4 linked regions of the Macaca mulatta genome follow. The protein of the gene in region 2 interacts with the protein of the main gene of each other region in a pairwise test. Links are inferred from orthologs where the notes say so. Each region holds a gene or a part of one and is shown on either strand. Other genes may lie near its edges.

Evidence for each region. The genes of interacting proteins can lie anywhere in the genome.
Region 1: the proteins of CLEC7A (region 2) and BNIP3L interact in binary tests that used the Homo sapiens proteins (3 or more experiments, as listed by UniProt). The two-hybrid records come from large-scale screens. The link is inferred for Macaca mulatta from reciprocal best matches to the Homo sapiens genes CLEC7A and BNIP3L.
Region 3: the proteins of CLEC7A (region 2) and TMEM79 interact in binary tests that used the Homo sapiens proteins (3 or more experiments, as listed by UniProt). The two-hybrid records come from large-scale screens. The link is inferred for Macaca mulatta from reciprocal best matches to the Homo sapiens genes CLEC7A and TMEM79.
Region 4: the proteins of CLEC7A (region 2) and BNIP3 interact in binary tests that used the Homo sapiens proteins (3 or more experiments, as listed by UniProt). The two-hybrid records come from large-scale screens. The link is inferred for Macaca mulatta from reciprocal best matches to the Homo sapiens genes CLEC7A and BNIP3.

Annotation. Positions count from the first base shown.
Region 1 is NC_133413.1:28,121,607-28,128,763, forward strand, and holds the start of BNIP3L (BCL2/adenovirus E1B 19 kDa protein-interacting protein 3-like), read left to right. Parts: upstream 1-3,409; 5' UTR 3,410-3,466; coding exon 3,467-3,566; intron 3,567-7,157.
Region 2 is NC_133416.1:10,421,671-10,428,922, forward strand, and holds the start of CLEC7A (C-type lectin domain family 7 member A), read left to right. Parts: upstream 1-2,423; 5' UTR 2,424-2,572; coding exon 2,573-2,702; intron 2,703-4,793; coding exon 4,794-4,892; intron 4,893-5,936; coding exon 5,937-6,074; intron 6,075-7,201; coding exon 7,202-7,252.
Region 3 is NC_133406.1:110,643,227-110,650,542, reverse strand, and holds the start of TMEM79 (transmembrane protein 79), read left to right. Parts: upstream 1-3,568; 5' UTR 3,569-3,710; intron 3,711-4,953; 5' UTR 4,954-5,087; intron 5,088-5,878; 5' UTR 5,879-5,918; coding exon 5,919-6,675; intron 6,676-6,953; coding exon 6,954-7,167; intron 7,168-7,316. Other genes in the region: nonsense-mediated mRNA decay factor SMG5, read right to left, coding at 3,252-3,325.
Region 4 is NC_133414.1:144,070,064-144,077,166, reverse strand, and holds the start of BNIP3 (BCL2/adenovirus E1B 19 kDa protein-interacting protein 3), read left to right. Parts: upstream 1-3,355; 5' UTR 3,356-3,471; coding exon 3,472-3,517; intron 3,518-7,103. UniProt on the Homo sapiens protein: Apoptosis-inducing protein that can overcome BCL2 suppression. May play a role in repartitioning calcium between the two major intracellular calcium stores in association with BCL2.

The DNA.
Region 1 (7,157 bases), on a different chromosome or scaffold from region 2:
CCCGAAGAGAAAGTAATTCACCCCTGGGCTCTTCGTCACTGTCGATTTCAATATATTTCCTCTTCTGGGATTTCTCAGGGGCCAGCATCAAGTTCTTTTCTCATTTAGGCAATGCGGATTTTCTGGAAGTCTTCCTGACTTAAAACTCGACTGGTGCTGATGGCTGCTGCTTTGGCTTTCTGCTCTTCCATGGGCATGCTGTTCAGCTTCTTGGAAATTTCTTGCTGTTCTTCATCGGAAGAGTGTTGAACATCAACCCATTCCCCATCGGCATCCTCCTCCTCACTGAGACTGGTACTTCCCCATCCATCTTCATCATTTTCAGCATTCTCCTCTTTCTCAACTTCCAGAACTTCTGCTCCTGGAATGTAATCTTTAGCATCTAATTCTCCATATTACTGTACTCTTGCTTCTACAGAGGCTTCTGTAGGCTTACCCCAGAATTTCTTCTGCAGCATCTGAGGATTCAGTGTTCGGAAGAGCTGAATCAAAGTTCTACCAGACATCATTACATTCTTATTCTTGTGTGGTTTATACTGAGCCAGGCCAGGTCTTGGAGAAGCTCTTCAGTCATGGCCAGAGGACACTGAGCTGTTATCTCTTTTATAGCATTGATTCCTACTGTCATGGCTTCTCCAGAGTTCTTGTCAGTAACAAAATTGTTGGCCACAGTCATAAGCAATGATTGAATAATCGCTGGGTGTACTAGGTGATGAGATGCTTGTGCAGCAAACAAGGATCTTTGTTACTTCTCTTTGGTGGGCTGCAGAAACCTTTGCAAAAAGTGACAGAAGTTGAAGAGGAAGAGCTCATGAATTCCCACCAATCTGGAGATGAGGTTCATGAGCATCATCTTCACTACCAACCTCTCCTTACAGCATTCAAGCTGCTTTAGTAGTTTTTCTGCAAAATCTTGGGGATCATGAATCAAGTGAATAGCTAGAAGTTAAACACCTCTGGTTTTTTCTTCTTCTTTTGTTTCTTGAGCACTTTTATTGCCTTTTCCAATGTTTTCTTGTTTTGGGAACTTTTCTTCCCTATAGCATATTGTGCTAGCAGGTCTCTTGCTGTTGGTCCGTCATCCTCAGATTCGGAGTCACTGTCCTGTATTTCATCTTCATCTTTCCCAAGAAAGAATGTCATAGCAGCAACTAATATCCTGGTGACCTTAGAGAAACAGGCAGTTGTGATAACACTGACAGTTTTGGTATCATTCCAGATGTTCCTTCTGTAGTGTTCAGTCATAACATCTAAAGACATCTTGGCTGTGGTTGCATTGCTATCTCTTAACATGGTGTACATGAAATTTTGCAACACTACATCCACTTTATTCTTGTGTTTTGTGTTTGCATTCTTGATATCAGTCACGATATGTGTGTATAAAGTCTTTTGCAGAAGCTTATCATGGCAACATAGAAGTTCAAAGAAGAGCTCTGGTAGGCTTGATGGATTGATGAGATTCTTATTTCTCAGCAAGATCAAAGCTTTGCAAAACGTCATTCGAAGATCTGGATCCAATACGGTATGATTACAGGACAGAAGATCTTTCACCACTTGAGGAAAATTACTTAGATACCCTGTGTAGCAGAGACTAATCTGTAACAAAGCACAGGCTCTTCTGAAGTTTCTTTCTCTCCTATTATTCAGATGCACATATCTAGGATGTTCTGTGCCATAAACATTACCAGTTCTGCTAGTTCTTTGCTGGGTTTATTTGGTTGCAATTTGAAAATCTCCACACTGGATGTGTAGTGATTATACTGCTGTAGAAACTCCTCGATGTAGGGCGGTGGGTCTCGCTTGATCAGACTCTGTAACTGCGGCAGGTTGCTGGGCAGCTTGTTGTTGTTTCTGCTGGACATTTTGGCTGCAGACTAGCTTCACGGCAAGCAGTTTTTTAAAAACTCAGATGGCCAGCAGCCGCCAATCCCTACCAGCTGAGGCTTGAACTCCTGCTTCCAGGTATGACTGGAAACAGCACTCAATCTATTAATAGAGTTCATTTCTGACCAAAATCTTAAAATAATTTGCAAAGGGATTTGACAAATCAATCCTTAGAAAAAACCTTTTAGCATGGAATTTTTCAAATATATTTAAAAATTAGAAGAATAATGCATTACATGGCTTCAATAATTGCCAATACATGGTCAATCTTGGACAAGTCCATTTTTAAGTTCATCTGAAGAGTAACTAGTCATTAACATCTGAAAAAGACAAACGAAGAGAAACTTTAATAGTTACCTAACAGAGGTATTGTAGATAGCCCTGAAACAGACTCACAATTTTGTGGGCATTCAGAGAGTGACAAAGGTACAATTTCAAATCAGGGTAGAAAGGATGGCTTAAAATTAATATTATTGGGTCAATGGGCTACAAAATTGAGAATTGAATTTAAATCATTTACAGCATATGGAAAATAAATTTCGGATGGATTAGAGCTCTGAATGTAAATTTAAGCCTATAAGAAAATTAGAAAAAGTTATAAGGGAATTATAGATTAATTATTTTGGTGCGAAAGTCTCCCCAAGTCATGTAAGAATGATAAATCTGATTACATGAAAACCTTACGCTTCTACACAGTGAAAAAAAAATTAAAAGACAAGTCAGAGACTGAGAGAAACATATGTGACTCATAAATCAGACCAAGGAGACAGGGCGAAGACATGGAGACGTGAAGTAGGAGGTGTGCTCAGGAAAATAGTTAAATGTCATCCACGTACAGGATAAACGGCTTCCCACGTCATGTCCCAGAAATCGATTAGTCGATGGGATTTGGGTGATTGCTTTCTTCTGTTTTTCCTGAATTTTTCTCTTTTTTATTTCTTTCCCTTTCTTCTTTCTCTCTTTCTTTTTTACAATGATGGTGTGTTTGTAATCGACATTTTAAAAATTCTATAACAATTAAATTTGGGGGCGGCCTTCCCTTGTTTCCCGTATGGAGTGTTGATGTTTCAGCAGCTTTATTTGGAGTTTACAAGTGGAAGCACCTGGGTTTGGGGCTTCCTTTGTGTCCCCAAGACACCTATTGCAGGAGTGAGTCCTAAGCAGTAGAAAACAGATGCATGTGCAGGGCTGGATGAAGCACTATGGAGCCTGTGTGAGAGGAGGCACGGGCGCTAACACAGGAGCGCACTTCCTCATTCCGCTTCTTCTCATCCTCTCTCGCAGTGCCATTGTCATCACTCATCCCATCCGGTCATCCCAAGTCACACGCAAGAGTTCGTTCCCGGCGCGCGCGTCAGCTTGACTCGCGCGTCTCCACGTCCGGGACCCGCAGGGGAACGCCGCCGCCCCGTCCGGTCGCTTGTTGTGTTGTCATCACGTGGCCTGGGCGGACCCTGACGTCAGTGGCAGGGGAGGGACAGCGCAGGCGCAGAAAAGGGGGCGGGGGACTCGGCTTGTTGTGTTGCTGCCTGAGAGCCTGAGACGGTCCTGCTGCTGCCGGAGCCCTGCCAGCTGTCCGACGATGTCGTCCCACCTAGTCGAGCCGCCGCCGCCCCTGCACAACAACAACAACAACTGCGAGGAAAGTGGCCAGTCTCTGCCGCAGCCGGCCGGCCTCAATAGTGAGTGAGGGGCCGAGGGCTTGGTGAAGGGGATGGGGGAGGAGGAGCCGCCCCGGCCGCCGCCACCGGCGCGGCGCGGGAGGCGGGAGGAGAAGGCAGCTCATTGGCCCAGGCCGGTGATGTCCGGGTGACTGACAGCTCCCGTCACCTGTCAGGAGGATGGGCGCCTGCCTTGCTCCGGGCCTCTCTGTTGCCTCCTGGGGTCATGGGCCGGGGCCGTTTGGGTTCGCGGTCCGGGAGCGGCGCGGGTAGCGCGGATCCCACTGGTGCTGGGGGTGGTCCCCAGCAGCGGAGCCGGGCGGGGCGGGGGCGGGCCTGGGGGGCGGGGAGGCCAGGTGGGCGGAGCGGGCCGCGGAGGGGACGTGGGCCGGAATGGGGACGTGCGGCGGGGACGCCGGGGGATGGACGCGCGGGAGCGGGGCGGGGCGGGCGGATGCCGCGGGACGTGTCTGGGATCAGGTGTGCGGGGCCCGCGGGCGGGCAGCGTCTGGCGGGCTCGGGAGCCCCCAGCGAGCATTCCTTTGTTGCCACATGTTTGTCAGGAAAATTCATTTGCTGGTCTAGGGGCTTCAGTCACGTGTGGGGTGAGAGGCTGTGCCTTGCTTCTCCTTTTTCCTTTTTTAATTTTTTTTTATTAGCTTTCTCGAAGTTGCCCAAGTGATTTTTTTTAAGCGATGAGGTTGTGCGCCCAGTAAACCTGAGAGCAGCCTCCTGAACCACCCGGGACTGCACACGTCAGGGAGTCTGGGGCCATGCATTTAAAGAAACGGAATTAAAAACGCACTCGGGCAATTGAAAGTTAACGGGCAAGGCTGATGGACAACCCAGGCCAGGGTCTTTTCATAACATTCCACTGCCCAGACATCTTGTCCTCAGATTGTTCCTGGTCGTGAGAACCGGGAGCCTTCTTGGAAGGGTTCTTGCCTAACCTTTCTTTAATTCAACTCTTGGGAAAGAGATAATGGGGGTAGCGAGCATATGGCCAGATGAAGGCTTTTCAAAACCGCTTGGATGCTTAAAGGTCATGCAGTATCTTTCGTAAGAGGGAGATGCTTCCAGCGTGGCCTGAAGATTATTCTAGGGAAGAGAGTTTCAGCCGTCACCAGGTAGCAACGGAGTTTGGAGATTTTAAGACGGATGCTGCTGCTCCAGGTTTTTTGATGGGTTAATACCCAAAACCTTTAAGTGTCCTACATTCCAGAATGTAAGACGGTTATGTTATTTCCCACAGTAAATTAGGATGAATGTCTGAGTCATTAAACGTTACTCGTATCACATATTCCTATGCAATTTTAAGTTATTTGCCCATGTTTAGCATACTGTCTTAGGTTTGAGAATGGGAAAAACTTCAGAGCTAGCTAACTGCCTCCTGTTGTTTACCTGTAGAGAAACAGGTCTAGAGTTAAGAGCCTGGTCCAAGTTCACAACTGGCTGGGAGCAAAGCGGAGGTTGTCATGTTCAGCCTGTCTACTGCTGTTTTCAGGGAGGGCTTTTTTTTTTTTTTTTTTTTTTTGAGATGGAGTCTCGCTCTGTCTACAACCTCCACCTCCCAGGTTCAAGCGATTCTTCTGCCTCGGCCTCCTGAGTAGCTGGGACTACAGATGCTTGCCACCCGCCCAGCTAATTTTTATATTTTTAGTGGAGACGAAGTTTCGCCATGTAGTTGGGATTACAGGCGCCCGACACCAACCCAGACTAATTTTTGTATTTTCAGTAGTGAGGGGGTTGGTCTCTCACCATGTTGGCCAGGCTGGTCTCAAACTGCTGACCTCACGTGATTAGCCCGCCTGGGCCTCCCAAAGTGCTGGGATTACAGGCTTGAGCCATCACACCCGGCCTCTTTTCAGGACTTCTTTTCAGTGGTCCAGAACCTCCTGCTGGTCTGTGTGTCTTATTTTGTCAGTGTGTTATTCTACCTAATTCACAAAGGTGGCCCACCTTTCTGTTTCTTTTTAGTATTCTGTTTCTTAATTGTGCAATTTTCTTATGAGTGAAGATACTTGGTAGGTGTACATGATTTCACTGAAATCTAAGGGATTTTCATCTTCCTTTGACCCTTTAACAACAACAACAATAAGGGCTGAGCCAGGCAGGGCGTGGTGGCTCATACCTGTCATCCCAGCACTTTGGGAGGCCGAAGCGGGTGGATCACTTGAGGTCAGGAATTCGAGACCAGCCTGGCCAACATGGTGAGAGACCAACCCCCTCTCTACTGAAAATACAAAAATTAGCTGGCCTGTCGGGCGCCTGTAATCCCAGCTACTCAGGAGGCTGAGGCAGGAGAATCGCTTGAATCCGGGAGGCAGAGGTTGCAGTGAGCTGAAATCGGGCCACTGCACTCCAGCCTGGGTGACAGAACGAGACTCTGTCTCAAAAAAAAAAAAAAAAAAAAAAAGGGCTGAGCCATATGTCATTGTTTATCTTGGAGTCTGACAGACCTATGAGGAGTTTGATGTCTTTGGCCAGTCGGTTCCTGCTTGGTTGACATCAACTCTTACAGAGGTGGAAGTACTCAGCCTGCATGGGATATCAAAATGTTGCTTTGGGAAATCTAGATAGAAAATATTTTACGTGGGATAGGGTGAGCTTTCTGAAAAGCTTTTAGATAATGCCATATTTAATTACTCCCCTCTTTCCTCTTAACTCTGTTCGTTTTTTTAGCTCATTACACAACACTGCACTGAACAAAACAAGAAGCCTCATTGATTCCTTGAAGTGATTTTTGGGCATTGGGCAAAACAACTTATTCAGGCGCCTAGTACTATCCAAATTGCGATAAGTTGAAGGACTTTGTTGGGTAAAGTTGCACAACTGAAAAACAGGAGATGAAATGTACAGATTTTCTTGGGTTTGGGACTTTTTATCTTTGGTTCAGGGAACAAAGCAGAGTTTCAATGGCAAATTATTGAAATATTTGAATAATGAAGTATTTCTGTGATTTTTTTTAACTTTACCGCTGTGGAGAGACTGTTCACTTTCATTAAAAATTACAGGGCAAATACCCAAACTCCTTCCAAGTCAAAAGGATGTTGTCCAGTTTGTTTTATTGTTAAGAAAACTATCAACTTCCTTAAGAATATTTGAATAAGAGTCAATTGGTCGAATAAGGAAAATCAAAGTAGTAGTATAAGTCGTAGTGTAATTCTTGTTATTGAGAAATACAGCCTTTTTTTTCTTTTCAAATTTTTTGTTTGTTTGTTTGTTTGTGTTTTTGAGACAGGGTCTTGCTCTGTCACCCAAACTAGAGTGCAGTGGTGCAGTCATAGCTCATGGCAGCTTCGACCTCCTGGGCTTAAGTGATCCTCCTGCCTCAGTCTCCTAAGTAGCTAGGAGTGCAGGTGCACGCCCCCACACCCAGCTAATTATTTTATTTCTTGTAGAGTTGGAGTTTCACCTCGTTGCCCAGGCTGGTCACTAGCTAACTTATTTTTTGTAGAGATGGAGTTTCACTTTGTTGCCCAAGCTGGTCACAAACCTTTTTTTTTTTTTTTTTAAATAGAAACGTCTTCAAGCACGATGTCCTTGCTTTCCGGTTTATGAAGAGTGCTGTTAAGACCTTCATGTATTGTCACTGCCTCATAATGTTTTGAA
Region 2 (7,252 bases):
ACAAGGGGAGTGTGATCTAATGGTAATAAACCGGAGGGAACTTAGCAAGGCTAATTTGTTCAGATTCTTCTTGGCATCTCTGTGTCTTCAAAGATAAGGATGTTTCTTTCCTCTGGGAAAGGATACTTCTAGAATAAGGGTCTTATGATCTGCTTCAGGGCAGAAAGATGCAGAAAGGTGTGAGAGTGAACTTCCTGATCCTGCTGTTTTCTCAAATGCCAAGAATCCATATTTTGGGGCTGCGTGTCCTGAAACTCCTACGTTGCCTTCCAACCACTGCATTATAGAACTGAAAGACTGATGAATGTTGAGGTTAAGATCCACATTACCACTTTGCAACATGTCTACAAAAACTTAGTAAAACTTTCGTGGCAGCTTAAGTAAGGCGGGAAGCTCATTTATGTACTCTCCTTGAGCTCTCTTCCATTTTGATAGGTGTTAGACCGTGAGAACTGCAGAACCCTCATCATATAACAACTCCTCCCAAATCTCTGCACTAGAGACTTGGCAAACTCTAGCATGCCTTCTAGCAGCTTACGGCAAGGTCCATACGATGACTCAGCTCTACTTAAAATGCCAGCTAAGGAAGCCCAATGCTGCTAGGAGAATTTACTTTTTGTTCCAGTCAAAACTTGGTAACAGATAGGCTCCCGAATTCCTTTTAGAGCAGTTACTTTAGAAATCTTACAGTTAGACCAGGTGCGGTGGCTCACGCCTGTAATCCCAGCACTTTGGGAGGCCAAGGCGGGAGGATCACCTGAGGTCGGGAGTTCAAGAGTAGCCTGATCAACATGGAGAAATACCATCTCTACTAAAAATACAAAATTAGCCAGACGTGTTGGTGCATGTAATCCCAGCTACTCAGGAGGCTGAGGCAGGAGAATCGCTTGAACCCAGGAGGCGGAGGTTGCGGTGAGCCAAGATCATGCCATTTGCACACCAGCCTGGGCAACAACAGCAAAACTTCATCTAAAAAAGAAAAAGAAAAAGAAATCTTACCGTTAAATTCTTTCTCTGCCCTTTGAGAAGCAAATCTACCACACAGAACTCTTTCTTCAAGGACTTGGGAGCTGTTTCTTTGAAATGCAAACATTCAGGGAGATAAATCTTGCTCTTTCTTTCATATGGAGCATAAGGACCAACTGAGCTGGGTGCTTCACTTCAACTATATCACCATGTCCTTCTGTCATATAGAGAGGCGAAGTTTCTCTTCCCTCTGGATAAGGGCCAATTAACAAATCCAGAGGGTCTAGTCACATTAACCTTCCTTAACATCACTCGGTATCTTTTCCTTAGCACACTCCACTTTAAAATGTCATCGGCTTTACTTTTGGGGAAGTTGAGTTCAGTTCAACAGGAAACAGTGCAGCTGTTGCCTATTGCAATAGTATTACCGAATAAAACCTGTCCTCACCACATTAACTAGTATCCAGATTTGTTGATCTTTGACAACACACAGATGTCTCCTGCACTCTACTGGCTTCAAGATCTGGTAAATGAGTTGAACACCTCTTCAGTTTCCAGCAATGTTAGGTGTTTTCTATATTTCTTTGATTTGATCATTACTATGGAAACTGGAAGAGAGGGAAAAATAATCAAATATCTGGCATAATATTTCAGTCCCAACACCTTCCATAAGCTGTTCCTTGCAATATAAGTGTATGGAATGATGAAAGAGGCAGTGTAGCATAACAGAAAAGATCATGAGTTTTGCAGCAAGAGTCAGCTTTGATTTGATTCCTTGCTCTAAATTTTTAAAATTAGCTTCTTAAACCTGAGAAAGAGACTAAATTTTCTGTCTCATTTTTTCGTTTGAAAATAGAAATAATAATGCCTACTATACAGACTTGGAAAAGTGAGATTGAACAAGAAAACATATGCAACATGTGGTTCCTAACTCATAGTAATTGTTCAATAAATAATTGTTATTTTGTGTTATTAATATCTGATAATTCTCAAAGAGATTTGTTTTCTCTGTCTCTCTGTCTGTTGTTACAACAATGCACCTCCTCATGCCATCCCTCATTTACCTGTCTATATATTTCCTCTATTAGGCGATGTCTTTCTTCTTAGGTATCATTTTTCCTTGTATTCTAAGCTCCCGCCAATTGAAAAGGTGGATATTCAGTACCTGTTTATGTAATTTAAAAAATACATGAATACATACATGAACAAAGTTACAACAAAGTTATGGTAAACTTAGAGCACCAAAACTGTAATAGTTTGCATAGGTTAAATTAATTAATGTCAGATTTAGTTGTGAGAGTAATGAAGGCAGCATAAGACATTAATTTATGCATTTTTTCTTACATTTGGTCTGAAACAAAGACTTATCTGCTATGCTACCTTTCAGTTTTCCTGAGTCAGCAGTCTCAGAAACAGGATCTAAAGGTACAAATGGAAAATTACCACAGCATAGTTTCATTTCCTGCTCTTGAATATCTGGCTGAACTACTTAAGCTTAATTTGTTAAACCCCAGTAAGTACCTATCCCACATGATTTGACTCAGAGATTCTCTTTCCTCCACAGGCAGTCATCTCAGGAGCAGAAAGAACAGAGCTCCCAAATGCTATGTCTATTCATGGGCTCTCAAGAACAATGGACTATCATCCTGATTTAGAAAATTTGGATGAAGATGGATATACTCAATTACACTTCGACTCTCGAAGCAATACCAGGATAGCTGTTGTTTCAGAGAAAGGTATATATATATATTTTTTCTAATGTATGCCTTTAGCGCTCCCATTTGAAAAGATCCAAGGGGAGGCTGGGCACAGTGGCTCACGCCTATAATCCCAGCACTTTGGGAGGCCAAGACGGGTGGATTGACTGAGGTCAGGAGTTTGAGGCCAGCTTGGCTAATGTGGTGAAACCCCGTCTCTACTGAAAACACAAAAATTACCCAGGCATGGTGGCACACGCCTGCAGTCCCAGCTACTTGGGAGGTTGAGGCAGGAGAATCATCTGGACTCAGGAGGTGGAGGTTGCAGTGAGCCGAGATCACGCCCCTGCACTCCAGCCTGGGTAACAGAGCAAGACTCCATCTCTGAAAAAAATAAAAACAAACAAACAAACAACAAAACAAAACAAAAAGATATAAGGGGAGAAAATTTGAGAGGCTTGTGATGTGTACATTTTTATGGATATACTTTTAAAGGGCTTCAGATGTCAATGAAGATAATTTGAATGCACCCTAAACTTTTTTTCATGAAAATTATTCAGTGACTAATTATTAGTATTTAAATTAATTATGTCTGATGGCAGAAAATACAATTTCTATTTTATATAGATATAGACATTTCATCAGTGAGGAATCGGTAATAAGTGGGATAATACACAAAGATAAAGGATTTCCATATGAGTGACTTGTTGCTTGTTTGATAGAAAGGCTAGATTATTGAATGGAGGCCAGGAAACTTAAAGAAGTATATATATGAACAACATGTTTTTTTGTGGTAAGAGATTAAATTGTTTTTAAACAAAAAACAATTATTGGTATACCAGTGAAGGAAAATATATTAATATATGGTGGATAAAAACATCCCATTGGCAGGACATGAGTCTTAAACAAAAAGTAAACGAAATGAAATAGAAGGGCTTTGGAGGATCTCTGTATTCACAGAGTGGGTGATTTCGCCTACTCTATGTGACACTTCTATGAAATGTCCTGACAGCTTAGTCTCACTGGAAAGCAGAAATACATTCTGGTTATGGCAATGTTAATACAAAATTAGTTCCCTATTTTCTTTGAGAGAGAGATAGATCATTTGTTGGTTTTGACACCAGAGTTTGCTTTCTTCTGCTTTCTGATTCTTCACATTGCACAAATATTTTCCTCTCAGTACTGATGTAATTCTTTTCTTGGGCAACCTATTGAGGAAGGGTGGAAAAAGTGGGTGAGGCAAGAGGTAGGGAGACATGTGCATGTTTATGCATATGTATAGGCAAACGGTATCCTGTAACAACACACCTATAATGTGCTAGCAGTGGCTAAACGAGGTGCTTTTATACGTGTTAGCTCATTTAATTCCCACAATAATCCTTTGAGATATTATTACCCCAGTTTCATAAAGAGGAATAAAAAACAACAAAGGGAGTAATTTGCCCTGGGTCATGCAACAAACATATGAAAAGGGAAAATTACCCTTAGTAATCATTGCTCTCTTCCCAACATTAAGCTATTTCCTCTAAGAATCAGTGGGATTTCAGGGATCCTACTAATGTCGTGACCTGTAGATATCAATGTGGAGCTGAAATTAGGAGCATACAGATATCAAGGCAATGTGCTGAAATTATAATTGAAGAAGAGGTATTCTTACTAGTGGAGAAAAACACAGCGAATCCTTGATGACTAGGTAACCTAGGCAGTGATTAATAATTCACTTTAAAATTTGCCAGTATTTTTTGTTATTGTTGTTTTGTGTTCTGTTTTTTTTTTTTTAACAGGGTATCACTCTGTTGCCCATGCTGCTCTGGAATTCCTGGGCTCAAGCGATCCTCCTGCCACAGCCTCCAGAGTAGTTGGGACTACAGGAGCTCACCACCATGCCCAGCTAGTTAAATTTTTTCTTTCTTCTTTTTTTTCCTTTGGTGGGGACAGAGTCTCCCTGTGTTGCCCAGGCTGGTCTTGAGCTTCTGGCCTCAAGCAATCCTCCTACCTCTGTCTCCCTTCTGGGATTACAGGTGTGAGCCACTGTGCAAGGCCAGATTTTTGATGAACTGTAGAACTGAAGTGCCCCACCTTCTGTCATTCTCTTTCTTTATTCCATTTCTGCCCCCTCTGGCTCCTCAGGATCTTGTGTTGCATCTCCTCCTTGGCGCCTCATTGCTGTGATTTTGGGAATCCTATGCTTGGTGATACTGGTGATAGCTGTGGTCCTGGGTACCATGGGTGAGTATTTGGTGGAGAAGATCAACAACAACAATAACAACAACAGACAATTTAGTAAGCAATTATTATGTGCCAGGCACTCTTTTAAGGGCTTGACATGCATAATCTACTTTAATTTGTATGTAATCTGGTTTTGTCTGTATTGGGTTGGAGCTGTTAATGCCCATTTCACTTATAAAGGGTGTGAGAGACTGAGAGGTTATTTTTCCTTTCCAGGGTTATAAACTAGTTAGTGGTGGGACCATGATTAGAAATTTAGGCGATCTGTCTAAAAAACTCATACTCTTAACTACATTGCTCTCCTACCTCCCTTGCATAGCTGGTTTCAAAGCTGTAGAATCCAAAGGATAATAAATTAATGGAAGGAAACACATGGAGCTGAAGAAGAAAGTACAATATGGTGCTGTCTTCCTAATGAAATAAATTCACTAAATAGACATTAAGCTGTTTTTATGAGTCATACTATTTAGGGAACTTATTTCTGATCTTTAATATAAACACCTTTGCATAGACCAGAAATTTCCTGAGGCACTTGGTCTTAAGTCGGTATTTTGTAATGGATGAATTGTTTTTTAGATTTTATATCACATGCAATCTGTTGTTAAACACCTTCAGAGAGTCTTCATGACATTCCTTAATTAGTCAGATGCACTTAGTCAAGTGCATTCTATGTTATAGGTACTGGGCAGTTTCTCAAGGACCTCTCATTTTTAAGTAATAGAAGAAAGGTGAAAGATGTTGCTATTTCAAATCTGCCATGGGTCCAGTTAACTCTATGACATTTGCCTCTTGCTGCCTCCCTCGTTCTATTTCTTCTTCTCTACATTCTTATTTCTTTTTAACTATACCTCCGTTATGAAAGTTATTTATTTCTTTTCATCTATCCTATCAATCATCTTTACTTCTCCACAGCAATATATCATCTATTTATCATTAATCAATAATGTATTCTTTTATTCCAATAACATATGGGTTTCGGGATTTTCATTTTCAAACACAGAAGAATGACTTTTTTTCTGTCACTGTTATTGTTGGGATATGAAGCTATTTGGAGACCCAATTCAGGAAGAAACTCATTGGAGAATGGCTACTTTCCATCAAGAAATAAAGAGAACCACAGTCAACCCACACAATCACCTTTAGAAGAGAGTGTGACTCCTACCAAAGCTGTCAAAACCACAGGCAAGGGCATAGTTAAAGGATGGAATCTTGATTCAAGAGGGTTAATTGTTGGTGCTGAGGCCTGGGGCAGGGGTATAAGGAAAATATGCTTAGATTCAATGATTGTACATTTAAGGCAAGCACACATATTAGTATTAACTTAGTGTAATATATCCCTGTCATATATACAATAAGGTGAAATTATAAGTACTCTATGCACTTGGCTGAACGGTTCTAAATTGGACTTTATTAATTTTTAAAATCAGTAACCGATTTATCACTGGCTATGTGCTTAGATCTACAGGAGATCATATAATTTGATACAAATAAAAGAAAAGTGTTCTCTCCCCTTACAGAATTGAGATTTTTAATGCGATACAGTTAGAATAGAAAATATGACATTAGAAAGGAAGAATGACAGGGAGAAAGGAAAGAAGGGAAAATGTTGCCAAGAATAAAGAAGCTATATTAAAAATATACAAAAGAGGTAGACCTAATACACATGTTCCTGAAAACTCATCAAATTTGTTTAATCATACAATTTCATTTACTTAATTACAATTCTATATACACTTGACCTTTACTTCTAATTGCATCATAATTGACTATGACTTAATGTTTTCACTTCAGTTTTTCATCTCTGGTCCCATACCTCCTCACTATTTTTATTAAGTAGCTAATAACATATAAGAGAGAGAGTATGTAATATGAATAACTGACCTATACTTTTTTCATTTGGAAAGTCACATTCTGAAGTAGATCTTACATCATAAAATAAGTTAAGTAGCAAATGAAATTGCTGTGTACCTCAATGATTGATTGTGAGTGGAATTATTTTAAGGAGTTATTAAGGAGAAAGGTAGTTTTGAGCTAAATTAGAAGGAATAGAAGACAAATCAAGAAAAAAAGGATAGTTGGCTGCCTAAAATACTATTTATAGCTAATTCATTTTTAAATTCTAAATGAATAGGAAGATTTGAATGTATTCTCATCTGTAAAATCATATCACTGTAGTTTGAATTGAAAATGAAATATAATAATGGCAACTCATTGGTTTTTTCATAAGTGTCCTTAAGATGAATGTTGTTCATACTAAAAGAGTGAATTGGTGTGCTATGAACCTCATGGTACTAATCTTTTATTTCCAGGGGTTCTTTCCAGCCCTTGTCCTCCTAATTGGATTATATATGAGAAGAGCT
Region 3 (7,316 bases), on a different chromosome or scaffold from region 2:
ATGCACAGGACAGCCCACCACAATAAAGCATTACCCTACCCAAAATGTCAACAGTGTCAAACTAGAGAAACTGTGATATGGTAAGGCAGACTCTCCCAATGGAAAGAGCACAGGCTGTGATGCCAGGCAGAAAATCTAGGGTTTGAACCCTGGTTGTGTCTTACTCTGTGCCTTTGGGCAAATTACCTACCCTTTTAAAGCCTTAGTTACCACATCAATAAAAATGAAGATAATAATAGCTACTTCAGAGAACTGTTTTGAGGATTAAATGAAATCATAATTTTTATATAGCTCTAGTATATGGTAAACATTCAATAATAGTAGAATGAATAAATTATTATATAAGGCCTTATTATCCCTGACATAAAGGAAAGGCATTTCTAGTATAAAATTCTACTACGGAATTGTAGGGTATGATGGGCAAGTAGAGGGAGCTCCTAGACTACTTAGCCGTAAGTAGGATTCGGGTAAGCCTGGATTCTGCTGAAGGAATTATTTGTTGAACATAGTGGTTAAGAGTGGAGGCATGAAACCAGACCGCCTAGATTCAAATATTACCTCTACTTCTTACCAGCTATGTGGTCTTGGGCAAAATATCTAACTTCCTTATGGTTGGGTTCCTTCACCCAACCATAAAATGGAAATATTATTACCTATTTTGTGAGGATTAAATTAGCTAATACACAGAGCACCCATAACAGTGCCTGGTATATATAGTAATCACTCCAAGTGTTAGTCTCCATCCTTCTTGTCCTAAGGCTGAGGGGGAGACTCCAGGCACTAAGGGAGTCTGTCATCACAGCAAAGAAAAAGTCACAGAAACTCTACAATGGATGGCCAAGAAATCCCAGAGGTAGGTCTTGTATCTGGAAGGGTAAAACCCAGAAGACATCAGGCAGGAGCTATAAGAACATGTGAATCAGGCACAACTGTGGACACAAAAGCAACAAAAACACAGCGAAGATTTCCAAACAAACCAAGAGGTGCTCCCAGGCTGGGGAAAGTGGGCCACAACAGTTGGCACCCTGTGGTGGTGGTGGCTCAGGAGGCATACTACTAAGCTGCCCTGCACAGGGTGAAGTGACCGCCAGCACCCAGCGGAGCGGGTGGGATGGTAATCAATACCTTCTCACAAACAATCATGTTTCTTCAAACTGGACAGCCTAGAGATGCATGCCAAGCCCTTTTGGCCAACCTGGCCCTTGATGCCAGGCGCAGCACTAGTGATTTACTTTATACCAGCTCAGTTCCCAGGGCAGGGCTTTTATCTTTGGTGCCATGGAAAGAGCTAATGTGAGTGTATATTTTTATAGAAAAGCTCCATAGCTCTCTTTATATCATTAATCCAAAAGAAGGTAAATCACCACCACTCTGGGAAGTTCTAATTGCAGATGCTTTAATATGAGAGGGCTCACCACTTTTTTCTCATTTTCCGTCAGATCATAAGCTCCTCCACTAAACTATAATCTCTCTTAGGACAAAAACTACAAAATCTAGTCGTGTGTTTCATTCACTCCCGGGCCTAGCAAAAACAAAAATGTTTTTAAAAACAAAGAACTAATGAATTGGCCTAATTAACTGGTGCTTCCAGGCTCCTTTCTCCTGCTGCCCTTTCTTCTGACTTAAAATATTTCAGAATTTCATATCAGTAAACAGCTACGTGTGGGAGTTCCCCAAATTTCTGATGCTCAGAGTGACAAGTCCAGTCTAGCAACACATTTATCTTGAGCAGAGAAATCAGACTTTCCTCCTAGTTCCTTCCACATATCACCCAGCTATAATAAATTATAAAAACAGTGATTGGCTGCTTCAAATTTCTACCCTGCTCAAAGTCAACAACACAATTACACCCATGTGCACATAGGTAAGCCACATAGGCAAACACATCAGCTTAGGTTAGTCCTGTGAATGTAGTGGTTTAAGAAAGAACTACATTTAACGACAACTGGAAGGATGACCAGAGCCATCCCTAAATGCTAGAGACAAGGAATACTGCAGACACTGCCCACGCGCTGTCTGACTGGCAGCACTGACACTCGGCAGCATGATGAGGCACACGTGCCGCCCCTAGCCAACTCCTCACCCGCCTGGGGACTGCTTGGGGCAGCTCATAGTGGGAGCCCAGGGGCCGCTAGATTGAATCACTTTTCTATTTTTGGAGTAGCCTATAGTCCCCTCTGCCTCTGGCTTACAAAGCCAGAGAAGGCAGGATGCCTACTCAGAGGAAAAGACAACATGCCCTCTTGACTCTTTCACTGCCAAAACGGGGCCAAGGCTCTGAGGGTCTTCTTCTCATGCAAGCATCCGTGTTCTATAAAGCCCAAGCTAAATGAAAACCCCAAACTCGACTCTGTAGTAGAAAGCACAAAACTCAGTTTCCATGCTTCGTCCTATTTTGACCCAGTTATGGAGCCCATGTTCTAGCTGACCTACACAACAAATTCTCCACCTTCGATGGGAAGAGCTCATTCGGGCCTGTTCCTAACAGAGGGCTGAAGGGCTGAAGATGTGACTTGTGAAGCGTGGGTGGCATTATGGAAGTCAAAAACCAGGAACGGAAGTTGCCTGGCAAGAGACTACAGTCATGAGGCTGGGAGGAAGGCAGGACTCAGGAGTCCCCAGGTGCCCGGAATTGCCTCCCAGATCCCAAGAACGCTCTGTACACAAAGTCGTTCGTGGCCCTTCCAGGCCAAGACTTTCTCATTCAGACTCCTCAAAATTAGAGCTGTATGGGACTCTAATTTAGAGCACATCCAATTCAAATCTTTATTTTTAAGGATAAAGAAACTGAGGCCCAAGGTCACATCGTGAGAGAGTGGCAAAGGATGGACCTAAGCCTAGCTCTACGGACTTTAGTCCAAGACTCTTCCTTGTAAATCCCACAGGATTCCAAGCATCGTTCCCTTCCGGGTTTTTCTACACCTATGACCCCACCTTCACCTACCCAACCCTTCCAGCCTTCAATTCTCACCCTATTACCCGAACTCCACAAAGCTTAGTGCCCGCCCCAAGCAAGCTCACTGCAGAGGGGATTCCTCCACGTGCTTCCCTCCAAACCTCCCACCCACCCAATTCCTCCTTTCAGTTCCATCCTGAGTTACTACGGGACCCCGCCCCGCCTCCAAAATTGCATCCTCCTTCCTCGCCTGCACCTTACCCCGACACAGGGGCCCCGCCCGCCCGGGAGGCCCCGCCCCTCGCCGTCTCCCCACTTCCCTTGGCGGCTGCTCTCACGCCCTGGCCCCTCTCACCGGTAAAGCCGCTTAGTGTGGAGGACTTTTGCTTCGGGCTCGCTGCTCTCCCCTGTGGGGGGGCCTTGGCTCATGGTGCCCGGGTCCGGGGGCAGCTCCCGGTCACAGGCCCCCGCCACCCACCACTACCACCACCACTGCCGTCTCCGGCCGTAGCCGCAGCCGCCGCCGCCGCCGGCCCTGCTCGGCCGCCATCGCTGTGAGGCGGCTGCCCGCGACAGCTCCTCCTCCGCCTGGCAAATCTCGCGATGGCAGCCGCACAGTTGCGGACCAGTGGCCTGCTGCTACCAAATCTCGCGAAACTCGTTTTCCCTCCCGGGAAGTTGCCAGAACTAACTCTGGGCAGCATGGCCTCTTTCCGGCTTCTCCAAACCCTTGCGAAAAACTTTATTGGCAAAGCTATCAGAGAACTGACAGTGTACCCACTGAGGCGGCCAAAGCTTAACTGGATCAGGGCAGGTGAGCTTACAGCTAGGAGGGTGACTGCTTTGTCCCACAGTGGTCATTTGGTCCATCCTTCTGCCCCTTTCCCGCCTCCCCGTTTGAACCAAGCCTCTTTCAGATTACTGGTTAGAGTGACTCCAGCTTTCCCTTTTCCCCCATAATTTAAACAAACAAAAAGTGCATGTGAAAGTTTCCTTGGAAAGGGCCGAGCATCACATAGGAGTAAAGCCCTGGAAGAAATGACTTGTACAAGCGTCTTGGCCCTTCAGCTCCCCTCCCAAAGATTTCCAGCTTGCATATCTCTTACCACCCAGTAACATTTATTGAACTGCTGTCTTCCAGCCACAGTGCAGGATTCTAGACACAGAGAGGTGAGCAAGCTAGACACTATCCCTGCCCTCACAAAGCTCAAATGACTTTAGGGATAAGGACTCATAGGAATGAGAAGCTAGTCCCTCACGTTTCTATCTCCTGATCCTCACATTGGATATCAGGGCAGGTGGGCTCACAGCTAGGAGCGTGACTGCTTTGTCTTGTTTTAGCTTAAACCTAAGTTTAAAAGCAAGGGGTTTTTTTGTTTGTTTTGTTTTTTGTGTTTTGTTTTGTTTTGTTTTTTGCCTGTGTACGAATTGTAATGAGAACATAAATTGCCCTTCTACCGCTATGCTCTTGGCTTCAGCCACCCATCTTCTTTCTGTTCCTGAAACAGCCTAAGTCTTTCCCATCCATTGGTCTTTCACTTGCTGTTCCTCTGCCTGTAACACTCATACTCCTGATTTCCCATCAGGTTTCAGCTCAAATATTACCTTACCAAAGAGGTCTTTCCTATAAAAATTGTCTAATTGATTTAGTTGCTAGGCTTCTTCATTATCTGTTACCCCAATAGAACATAAGCTTCTCAAGGGCAGAGACCTTGACTGTCATCTTGTTCTCCTCTGTGTCTGCCTAGAATAGTTCCTAGCTAATAATGGTGACCAGTAAATATTTACTGAATGAATAAGTGTACAAATTCCATCTCTGGGTATCCCAGCCTACTCCGAGCACCCTTTGGTGCACAAATCCACTTTTCTCCCTCTGCTTTCCTGAGCTGGGAGCTCCTACACATTCCAGTTGCCTAGAATGTGAACTTACCTCTTTGCCCAGCTGCATCCCAACTTTCGGAAAGAATGACGACATCCTCCTCTAATGCTTTTTTTGTCGGCAGATTCAGCAGGGCGGGGCCTGCCCCTTTAATCTGGGCCCCACCTGCTCTGGTCAGACAGGTTTTGAGACACAGGTAAAGGGAGGGAGACAGAGAGAAATACTTGCAGAGCCAGCAGGTAGCTGGGCAGCTCCTTCCCGGACAGACGGACAGACGGATGGACGCTGGGGACCCTCCACTCCATATGGAAAGTAAGAGGATGTCCTGGGTCCAAACTACAAGGTTTGGAGGGCCCTTGAGATGAAGGAAGGGAATCAGTCCCATCCAGAAGCAATGAGATGAAGGGCAGCAGGGAGGGGAGAAAGACAGGAGAGAAGGCATACAAAACAGTCATGATCAGACCTAAATGCCGGAATAACAGATCCAGGCCCTGCAGAGATGGATGAGGTGGGCTAGTGAGGAGTTTGGGAACTGACCAAGTACCAATGAAGGAAGAGGGTGCCTGCAACTGCCAGCTTTTTGGGACAGATTAGTTGGCAAATCACTGGTCTCACCTGGAATGCAGGAGGGTTCCAAGCAGGGATATGCAGGGAGAAGGGGAGATGGGACAGTGGAGGGGAAGCTTCTCTGTCTACATACAGCAAGATCCTCGGTAGGAAAGAAACTTGGCAAAGTTCTAGACACCTCTTCTGCCTCCTGTTCCTGCATTAGGGTGGCCATGACTCCAGGGGTTTTGGTGGAGGGGCATAGAAGGCGTGGGTGGAGGCTGACTGAGGCCACAGCTGCCAGGGCCTGTGCCCCTTGACTCACCCTCTCCTGTTGGATGGCATTTGATGTCGAAAGGGTGCCTCCATTTCGGCTGCTCACTTCCTTCCCTCCTCCCTCTGTTTCAACGTCTTCCTCTGTACCAGTTTCTCCCTAAGGCTCCAGAAGGGGCCAAAGCCCATGAAACCAGTTGCCCTGGGGAGTATGAGTTCTGTCAACCTGTCCTAACAACTAGAAGACAGGGGTTTCTGACAGAGCTTTCCTCTGCTCCCTGCAGGATGACTTGACATTGTAGATCCCAGAACTGAGGCCCCAGGATGACAGAACAGGAGACCCTGGCCCTGCTGGAAGTGAAGAGGTCGGATTCCCCAGAGAAGAGCTCACCCCAGGCCTTGGTTCCCAATGGCCGGCAGCCAGAAGGGGAAGGTGGGGCCGAATCCCCAGGAGCTGAGTCCGTCAGAGTGGGGTCTTCAGCTGGGTCTCCCACAGCCATAGAGGGGGCTGAGGATGGTCTAGACAGCACAGTAAGCGAGGCTGCCACCTTGCCCTGGGGGACCGGCCCTCAGCCCAGTGCTCCGTTCCCGGATCCCCCTGGCTGGCGGGACATTGAACCAGAGCCCCCTGAGTCAGAGCCACTTACCAAGCTAGAGGAGCTGCCCGAAGACGATGCCAACCTGCTGCCTGAGAAAGCGGCCCGTGCCTTCGTGCCTATTGACCTACAGTGCATTGAGCGGCGGCCCCAAGAAGATCTTATCATGCGCTGTGAGGCAGGCGAGGGCAAGTGCCGAACCTTCATGCCCCCCCGGGCCACCCAGCCCGACCCCACTGAGCGCAAGTGGGCTGAGGCGGTGGTGAGGCCGCCTGGCCATTCCTGTGGGGGCTGCGGGAGCTGTGGAGACCGTGAGTGGCTAAGGGCTGTGGCCTCCGTGGGAGCTGCACTCATCCTCTTCCCCTGCCTACTATATGGGGCATATGCCTTCCTGCCGTTTGATGTCCCACGGCTGCCCACCATGAGTTCCCGCCTGATCTACACACTCCGCTGCGGGGTCTTTGCCACCTTCCCCATTGTGCTGGGTGAGCCTGTGAGAAGAAAGGGGAGATTGGGAAGTGGACTTGAGGAGGGCAGGGCCTGCCTGCCATGGGGAGCAGGAGGGTTTCCCTTCACTTGGCCTGGGCCCCTCAGGGTCTCCCACCCCCTGCCAGTCTGCATGCCCATATCCTCCCAGGACCACTTCCACCCCACTGTGTAGAGGCTATGCACTGCCCACAGTGAACCTGCCCCCAGCTTACTGCCTCTTGCGCCCTTACCCTGCCTGTTCTGACCCTACCCTGTGTTTCCCAACTCCACCCAGGGATCCTGGTGTACGGGCTGAGCCTGTTATGCTTTTCTGCCCTTCGGCCCTTTGGGGAGCCACGGCGGGAAGTGGAGATCCACCGGCGATATGTGGCCCAGTCAATCCAGCTCTTTATCCTCTACTTCTTCAACCTGGCCGTGCTTTCCACTTACCTGCCCCAGGACACCCTCAAACTGCTCCCTCTGCTCACTGGTCTCTTTGCCATCTCCCGGTAAGTTGGGGCAGGGGGTGGGCATGGGAGAGGGAATGGTGCTAGAGAACCTAGGCATCTGAATGTCTGGAGAATCAGGGTCAGGAGCTTTCCGGATTCTACCCTGGCCCAAATGTGTGCCCTGGGGAGATAAGCCCACCTTCTCTCTT
Region 4 (7,103 bases), on a different chromosome or scaffold from region 2:
CAAGAGGAAATCTCAACCTCTAAAACTCTGGGGACTCCCTGTCTGCAAACCTAGTCCAATAATACTGAACATACATGGCAGCTTTTACAGGGACTAGGTACAGAATCCTCCCAAATACTGGATCATTGAGGGCCTCTCCCACTCCATTCCTGCCCACAGAACCACAGTTCTCACCAACTGCCTGCTCCCTGCTATATGCTGTCTTGCCACACATGACAGTTTCATTGTCCACTGTTGCTGCCATAAAATAAACCTGTTTTCTTTAAATATCTGTATCAGAGACAGCAGAGGTGATGACAATGGGTGAGTGAATCCAAAATTTAAGGACAGAGAGGTTTATTTCACTGAAACAAAGATTCCCTAAAATGAAGCATGTGGATTCTTCAGTGCTTGCTGGAGAGCATTGAAGAGAGGCTTCAAGGCCAGGCACTGTGGCTTACGCCTGCAATCCTAGCACTTTGGGAGACTGAGGTGGGTGGATCACTTGAGGTCAGGAGTTAAGAGACCAGCCTGACCAACATGATGAAACCCTGTCTCTACTAAAAATACAAAAATTAGACAGATGTGGTGGTGGGCACCTGTAATCCAGGCTACTCAGGAGGCTGAGACTACAGTGACCCAAGATCACACCACTGCACTCCAGCCTGGGTGACAGAGTGAGACTCTGTCTAAAAAAAAAAAAAAAAAAAAAAAGGCTCCAGATGGGAGATGGCCTTGGGTGGGGGGAAAACAAGTACATAATTCCCAGAGGACAGTGAGATTCACCCAACAAGCTAAAGTGTGAGAGCTGATGGGTAGGGCTTTGGTGCTCCACCTTCCTGGTCAATTCCAAAGACCCCCTTTCTCGAATAAGGACTTTAGCCAAGGTATCAAAAATATATTCAGCCACTTTCATTAAAGTGGAAGTAAACCTGATCGATCCTTTAACAATATCAGACAATATCTGCTAAGGCCTGAAGCAACTAAAGGAATAAGATCCATAACAAAAGACTATTAAAAGGGTCTAATTATTCCTTGCACCAGCATGTAATACTCCAGTCCTTCCTGTAAGGAAGCCGAATGGGAAGAGCTGGTATTTTGTACAAGATTTGAGAACTGTCATTCAACACTGTGATCCCCAGACACCTGGTAGTACCAAAGCCCCATCCTCTTTTGACATCTGGAAGTGAGAGACTATGACTGACTCATGCAGTGCTTTCTTTAGTATTCCAGTGGACCCAGAGTCAGTATTTGTTTGCTTTTACTTGGGATGACTGTGAGCATATCTGGTCTATCAGGAAATATTGTTGATGAAACTGCTGCTTCCATCACAGCTCAACAAAAAGCTACTGACTCACTGGCTGAGGCTGCACTGGACAATTGCACTGCTTTCGATTATTAGCTGAGCAAGCAAGTATATGTATGGTGGCAAATACCTCTTGTGCATATACCCTTTCCATGAAGTAGAAACTCATATGGGAAAAATTAGAAGCCACTTGGCTACACTATTCTAAAGAATTCTCCATTTAATTTTCTTCATAATACTTTTGGTTGACTCCCTAGAATAGGTTCCTTTTTCCATTCTGGCACACACATTCTTTTTCATTGTAATACTTATGTGCACTGTACTTGGTAACATTTTTAATAGAGATGGGGTCTTTGTGTGTTGCCCAGGCTGGTCTTGAACTATCAGGCTCAAGTGACCCTCCTGCCTTGGCCTCCCCAAATGCTGGGATTACAGACAAGAGCCACTGCCTGGCCAGTATTACAGTTCTACTATTGAAATTACTCATGTTATGCCATTTATCTCTGGCTGTTTTACTTTTTTTTTTTTTTTGAGACAGGATCTCACACTGTTGCCCAGAATGGAGTGCAGTGGCCTAATTATGGCTCACTGTAGCCTCTACCTCCTGGGCTCAAGCAATCCTCCCACAGCGGGTGCCACCATACCCAGCTAACTTTTTTGTATTTTTTTGGTAGAGAAAGTGTTTCGCCATGTTGCCCAGACTGGTCTCCAACTCCTGGGCTCAAGCGATCCTCCCGCCTCGGCCTCCCAAAGTGCTGAGATGAAAGGCTTGTGCCCCACCTTGGCCTCTGGATGTTTGTTACTTCTCAGAAAACCAAGATCATGGCACTCCAAAGACTAGAGACGATTCAACAGGCAAGAGCAGCGATGAAAAACACGCAGCGACTGAGGTCTGGCTCCGCGGCTGTGACCTCGGTTCAGCTTCTGAGCGCCTGGTTCCTTGGCGGGAAGCGTCCTCCTTCCCCACAAAACCAGGCACGGCTGTTTGGGAAGCAGCGTTTCTGGGGCGCACCTCGATACTTGGATTTGGATCAACAATGCTTTCAAAAAGGAAGACTTTTGATCAAAAGCGGGAAATGAGAAAACTTGACTTTCCTCTGAAGACTGTGCGCCTTTTCCCGGTCCCGAGGCCGCGAGGCCCCCCTGCCAGGCTGGCTCCCACGGAAGCCCGGCACCCACCCGGCCTGGCCCAGCGCCACTCCGCCGCGTGACCCGCGGAGGCCCCAGCCCACCCCCGGGGACCGCCCGCCCCACACCGCGTTCGCCCCCCGGAAGCCCCTCGCCGCAGAGGCGGACGGCGCCTCTCCCGGGCCCCTGGGTCTGCGTCTCCCTCCGGGGACTCTTCCGACCCTGCTCGAGCCTCCGCTTCTTCCTGCGGGCGGACGCCCCAAATACAACGGGCCCCGCTGTTCACGCAGGGGCGCCCCGGCGGGGCGGGCAGAGACCCGGGGGCGCGGCCCCGTCCCGAGACGCTCAACTCCGGCCACCGCTCGCAGCTCCCTCCCCGGCGCAGGTCCCGACCCCACGGGGGACCCCACGGGCCGTCCCGACCCTACGGGCCGCAGCGGCCGCTTCCCTGCACGTCCTCACGCCCCCCGCACGGACGCTGCCAGCCCCGCGCCTCAGTTTCCCCACTCGCAGGATGTAAAGACCGGCCCCGCCCCGACGCGCAGCGCCGTCCCCGTGATAGCGAGTGCCCAGGGCGCCCACCGGCCCCACCGCCCCTTTAAAAGGACTCGGCCCACCGCCTACCGCGGCGGCGACCTCGCAGCCCACTCGTCACGAGGCCGCGGCGCCCCGCCCGTTCCGGCTCACCTCAGGCGGTCGCTGAAGCCCCAGCGCCTGCGCGCCCCTCGTCCCGCCCCTGTCCCCGCCCGCGTCCCGCGCACCGCAAGCCCCTCGCCCACCCCCCAGGACCCGCCCCGCGCACGCGCCGCACGTGCCACACGCACTCCACGCCCGTGCGCACGCGCAGGCCCCGCGTCGCGGCCAATGGGCGACGCGGCCGCAGATCCGCCTGGCCCCGCCCCGCCCTGTGAGTTCCTCCCGCCGGGCGGCGGGGCTGGGCTCAGTCCAGGAGCGCAGCTGGCCGCGGCGCTCCGCTTTCCCAGCGCCCGCAGCTGAATCGCAGTCCGCAGCCCGCAGCCCGGCGCGGATTCCCATCGCCGCAGTCGCCCTCCGGCGCCATGTCGCAGAACGGAGCGCCCGGCATGCAGGAGGAGAGCCTGCAGGGTGAGGCCGGGGAGGCGGCGCGGGAGCCAGGGGGCGCGGGGGGAAGCCTGGAGGAAGGCCAGAGGGAGGCCGAGGGGGCGCCAAGGGAGGTTGCCCGGGAGGCCTGGGGGACATCGCGGGCCGTGCGAGGCTGCGCCACCCGCCCCTCCCGTGCCCACCCCTCCTGCGGGCGTGCGGAGCCCGGGGCATGGGGACCCCACGTACTGCCCGGGGTTCGCGGCCTCGCCGCTCGGGCGGGGGTTGGCTTGGACCCGGGTCGGACCGCACGGGAAAGCCCCGATTCTCCAGCTCCGCCAAGTTGGAATTCCACCTGGAGGTGAATCTGCGTCTCGCAGTTGGTCCGAGAAGCCTCAAAGTCCACGTTGCCCTCCGCGGTCTGTAGTTCAGACCCGTATTGGTTTTAACGACCAAACACCAAGGCGTGGCCAGTGGACTGTTATGTGCTTTAATTTTGTTATTAATGTTTATATCCGTGGTGATTTAGGATTTCCTGAAGGGTGAAGGCGGAGATGGGAGGGGGTTACAGTGTTTTTAAAATATGGCATTTAATGGGCATGTTCCAGTTCTACTAGAGGGTCGTTCCAAAACAAAGCTTTAAATTACTTACGGGTTAAGAAAACACAAGCACAAGGACGCTGCCAGTGCCGCACTCAGTCGTTACAGGCTGCTTAATGCCCGAGTAGAGGCTCGCCCTGTGCCCTTGGCTAGATTCGCAAGACCATGCGTTCGCGCAGCGGGAAACGCAGGCCCGGGGTGCAGGACTTGCCCCACGCACAGCCAGGTGGCGTGGAGACCCTCCCCACCCGGAGGGTCCGCGTCAGAGTCCAGACAGCATTTGCTCAGGGAAGCGGACATTGAAGCCGCCTTCCCAGGGTCCCTAGGGCCCAAGCCTGGGAGGAGGGACCTGGTGGCAGCTGACCTTTGTGTTCTCTGAAGCCAGAGTTTACTAAGCAAAATTAGCATGTAAATAAGCTTGGGAACGGGCTGCGGAAACCTCTGACTGTGAACTTTTAATCTTCATTGAGATTTTTTAAAACCATGTATCACATAAATTCAGTGAGTTGCTAATTTTATTACAAAAAAAAATTTTACTAGGCAGGACTTAGTTACTGTAATATATTAAATATATATATATTTGAACACTACAACCATTTTTTTTTTTTTTTTTTTTTTTTTTTTTTTTTTTTTTTTAAGAGACGGGGTCTGTGTTGCCCAGGCTGGTCTGAACTGGGCTCAAGCGATCCTCCCGCCTCGGCCTCCCAAAGTGCTGGAATTAATAGGTCTGAGCCACCGCGCCTGCCCTAGAACCATATTTTTAAAAATCCTGTAATTCGGATTTTTCCTCTTGAAATTTAAACATTGGTTATTACTATTTTGGAATATATTAAGGGGTGTTTTCCTGACTTTTGTTATAAAATCCAAGGGATGTTTTTATAAACTCTTTGCCATAAAATCACCCATTTTCCGGTTGTGTTACTCCTGACATTGTGCGTTTCACTGCCTGGCTGGGGATCTGGGCGCTGGGAGGTGGAGGGGGCCCCGGGGTGGCTCAGTCCTCTCTCCAGTATGTAACTTACACAGGCTGCTGAGTCATTGGCAGTGCAAGACGGCCAGCGCCGGAGTTGCGAGATTTTTGTTTTTCTGTTTTGTTTATTCTGTAAAAGGATAGTTACCCGCGGGGTGGATCCCATGTAGGCGATTCCTTGGGCCGCCCTGAGTGTCCGCGCGTCAGGACGGGGCCACCGTGGGCTCGGCGTGGGCGGGGTTGGCCTGTCCCGCGGGCTCCAGCCGCCTGCAAATCCGGCGCGGAGCGGTGGCTCGCCCAGGCAGCGCTCACCTCTGCCCCTCTGATTTCACTGCCCCTTGTTTACCTCGGAACAGAGAACTGTGGGAGCCTTGCAGCCAGACCCACAGATGGAAGCAGCGAGCACTCTCTCTGCCTGTACCCTCTGGGGCCAGCTGCTTTTCCTGAGGAGTTGACGGCAAAATGGGCTGATTCCGTTCCTTTCTATCTCTTGATCATTCTGGCTATTGTTGTTGACCCGCAGGATGCTCGTATTCGTCCTTTTTTTCCTCTTTATTTTTTACGAGCCCAGTCTTACTTTGTCGCCCAGGCTGGAGGGCAGTAGCACAATCATTATCAAGCTCACTGCAGCCGAGAACTTGGCTTTTTCTCCTAGGCATGTCACTGCTGACATGCAGGAGAGGTAGGATTCTGTGATGAGACCGGGTCACGGTTGCTTGGCGTCACTTCCTTGAAGGACCCACTGTCTTCACCAGGAGGGCATCAGTTCAGTAAACTGCTTGCCCATTTACTCTGGAGCTTCCGTATTTAATGATCCAAGCCCTCAGCTCTTCACCTACTGCTGTGTCTGCAACTGGCAGATGGTTCTCTTGTCAGAGGCAACTCACCATGGGTAAAGTTGTAATAGGGGAAAAGATGCTTCCACTTATTTTGGAGCGGAATTGTAGCATTGTGCGCTTTGAGACCTGAAGGGGTTGCAGACATCTAGATTCTTGTCCAAGACCTGCATTTCATAGATGGTCACAATGAGGTTCTAGAGGTGGAGTGAAAGATAAGGCTGGCAACTTAAGGAGAAGCCAAGGACTCTGCATTAAGCACCAGTGGGATACCTGGAGCCCAGATGCCTGAGGCTGCGTGCCATAGGCCAGGGTCCTGGAGGAGAGCCTGGCAAGGGGGGAAGGTTGAGGGAAGTGAGCCGTTAGAAGCCAGGGACCTGATTTACCTACCGGGCTGACCTGATGCTTGAAATATTTTGTCAGGCAAGTCACTTTTGTTCCTCTCCACACTAACCTGAGAAGCTTTAAAGGTAAAAACAGCAATTTCTTAGAGCCCACCTCCTCTGGGGAAGAAGCCCTTTGTATGGTTTTGGGGGTGCTAGTTCCCTCTGGGGTTCACAGCGCCTCTGCTTAAGGCTTTTTTTCTGGGATGCTGCCTCCCTCTCTTCTGACATTTATCCCAGAGCTTTTTCAGTCTATTTTCTGGATTCCACCCCAGCATCCCAAATAGTCACTTTCAGAGTGGGCTGAGGCTGGGTTTTTGGAAAACAATGAAAAAATACCACAGGTGATTCTCCCTTCACAGCCAGAGTTGAGATTGTCATCCCAGGTTAGGGCATAGGGTGGCCTTGAGAACTTGGCCCTGTGTTTACTCCACGTGGGGCTCATGGCTGTGGCCAGTGAATCCATGTTGAAGAATGGGACCCAGGGAGTTGCCCTGGGGACATACAGAGGGCAGTGAATCGAAGGCATTCCCCGGAGTCTGTCACTGGAGAGAGAACTGCTTTGGGCACCTAGAGAAGCTGAATGTCAGATGATTTTCTTTTCTTTTCTTTTCTTTTTTTTTACATAAAGCGAGAATAAGACATGGATTAAGAACTCTTGTTGGAGTGTTTTCTGTCTCTGAGATAGACCTATCAGTTTTCTTTTTGTAATGTGATGTAAATATAGTCTAGGCTTTTCAAAATCTCATCTGCCTTGATATAGAAGGGAGGTAAGACTTACTGGCTGTGTGTCTTGTTAGCACTGTAAATTATAACTAAGTAAGGAGGGGGAGGAACCTAAG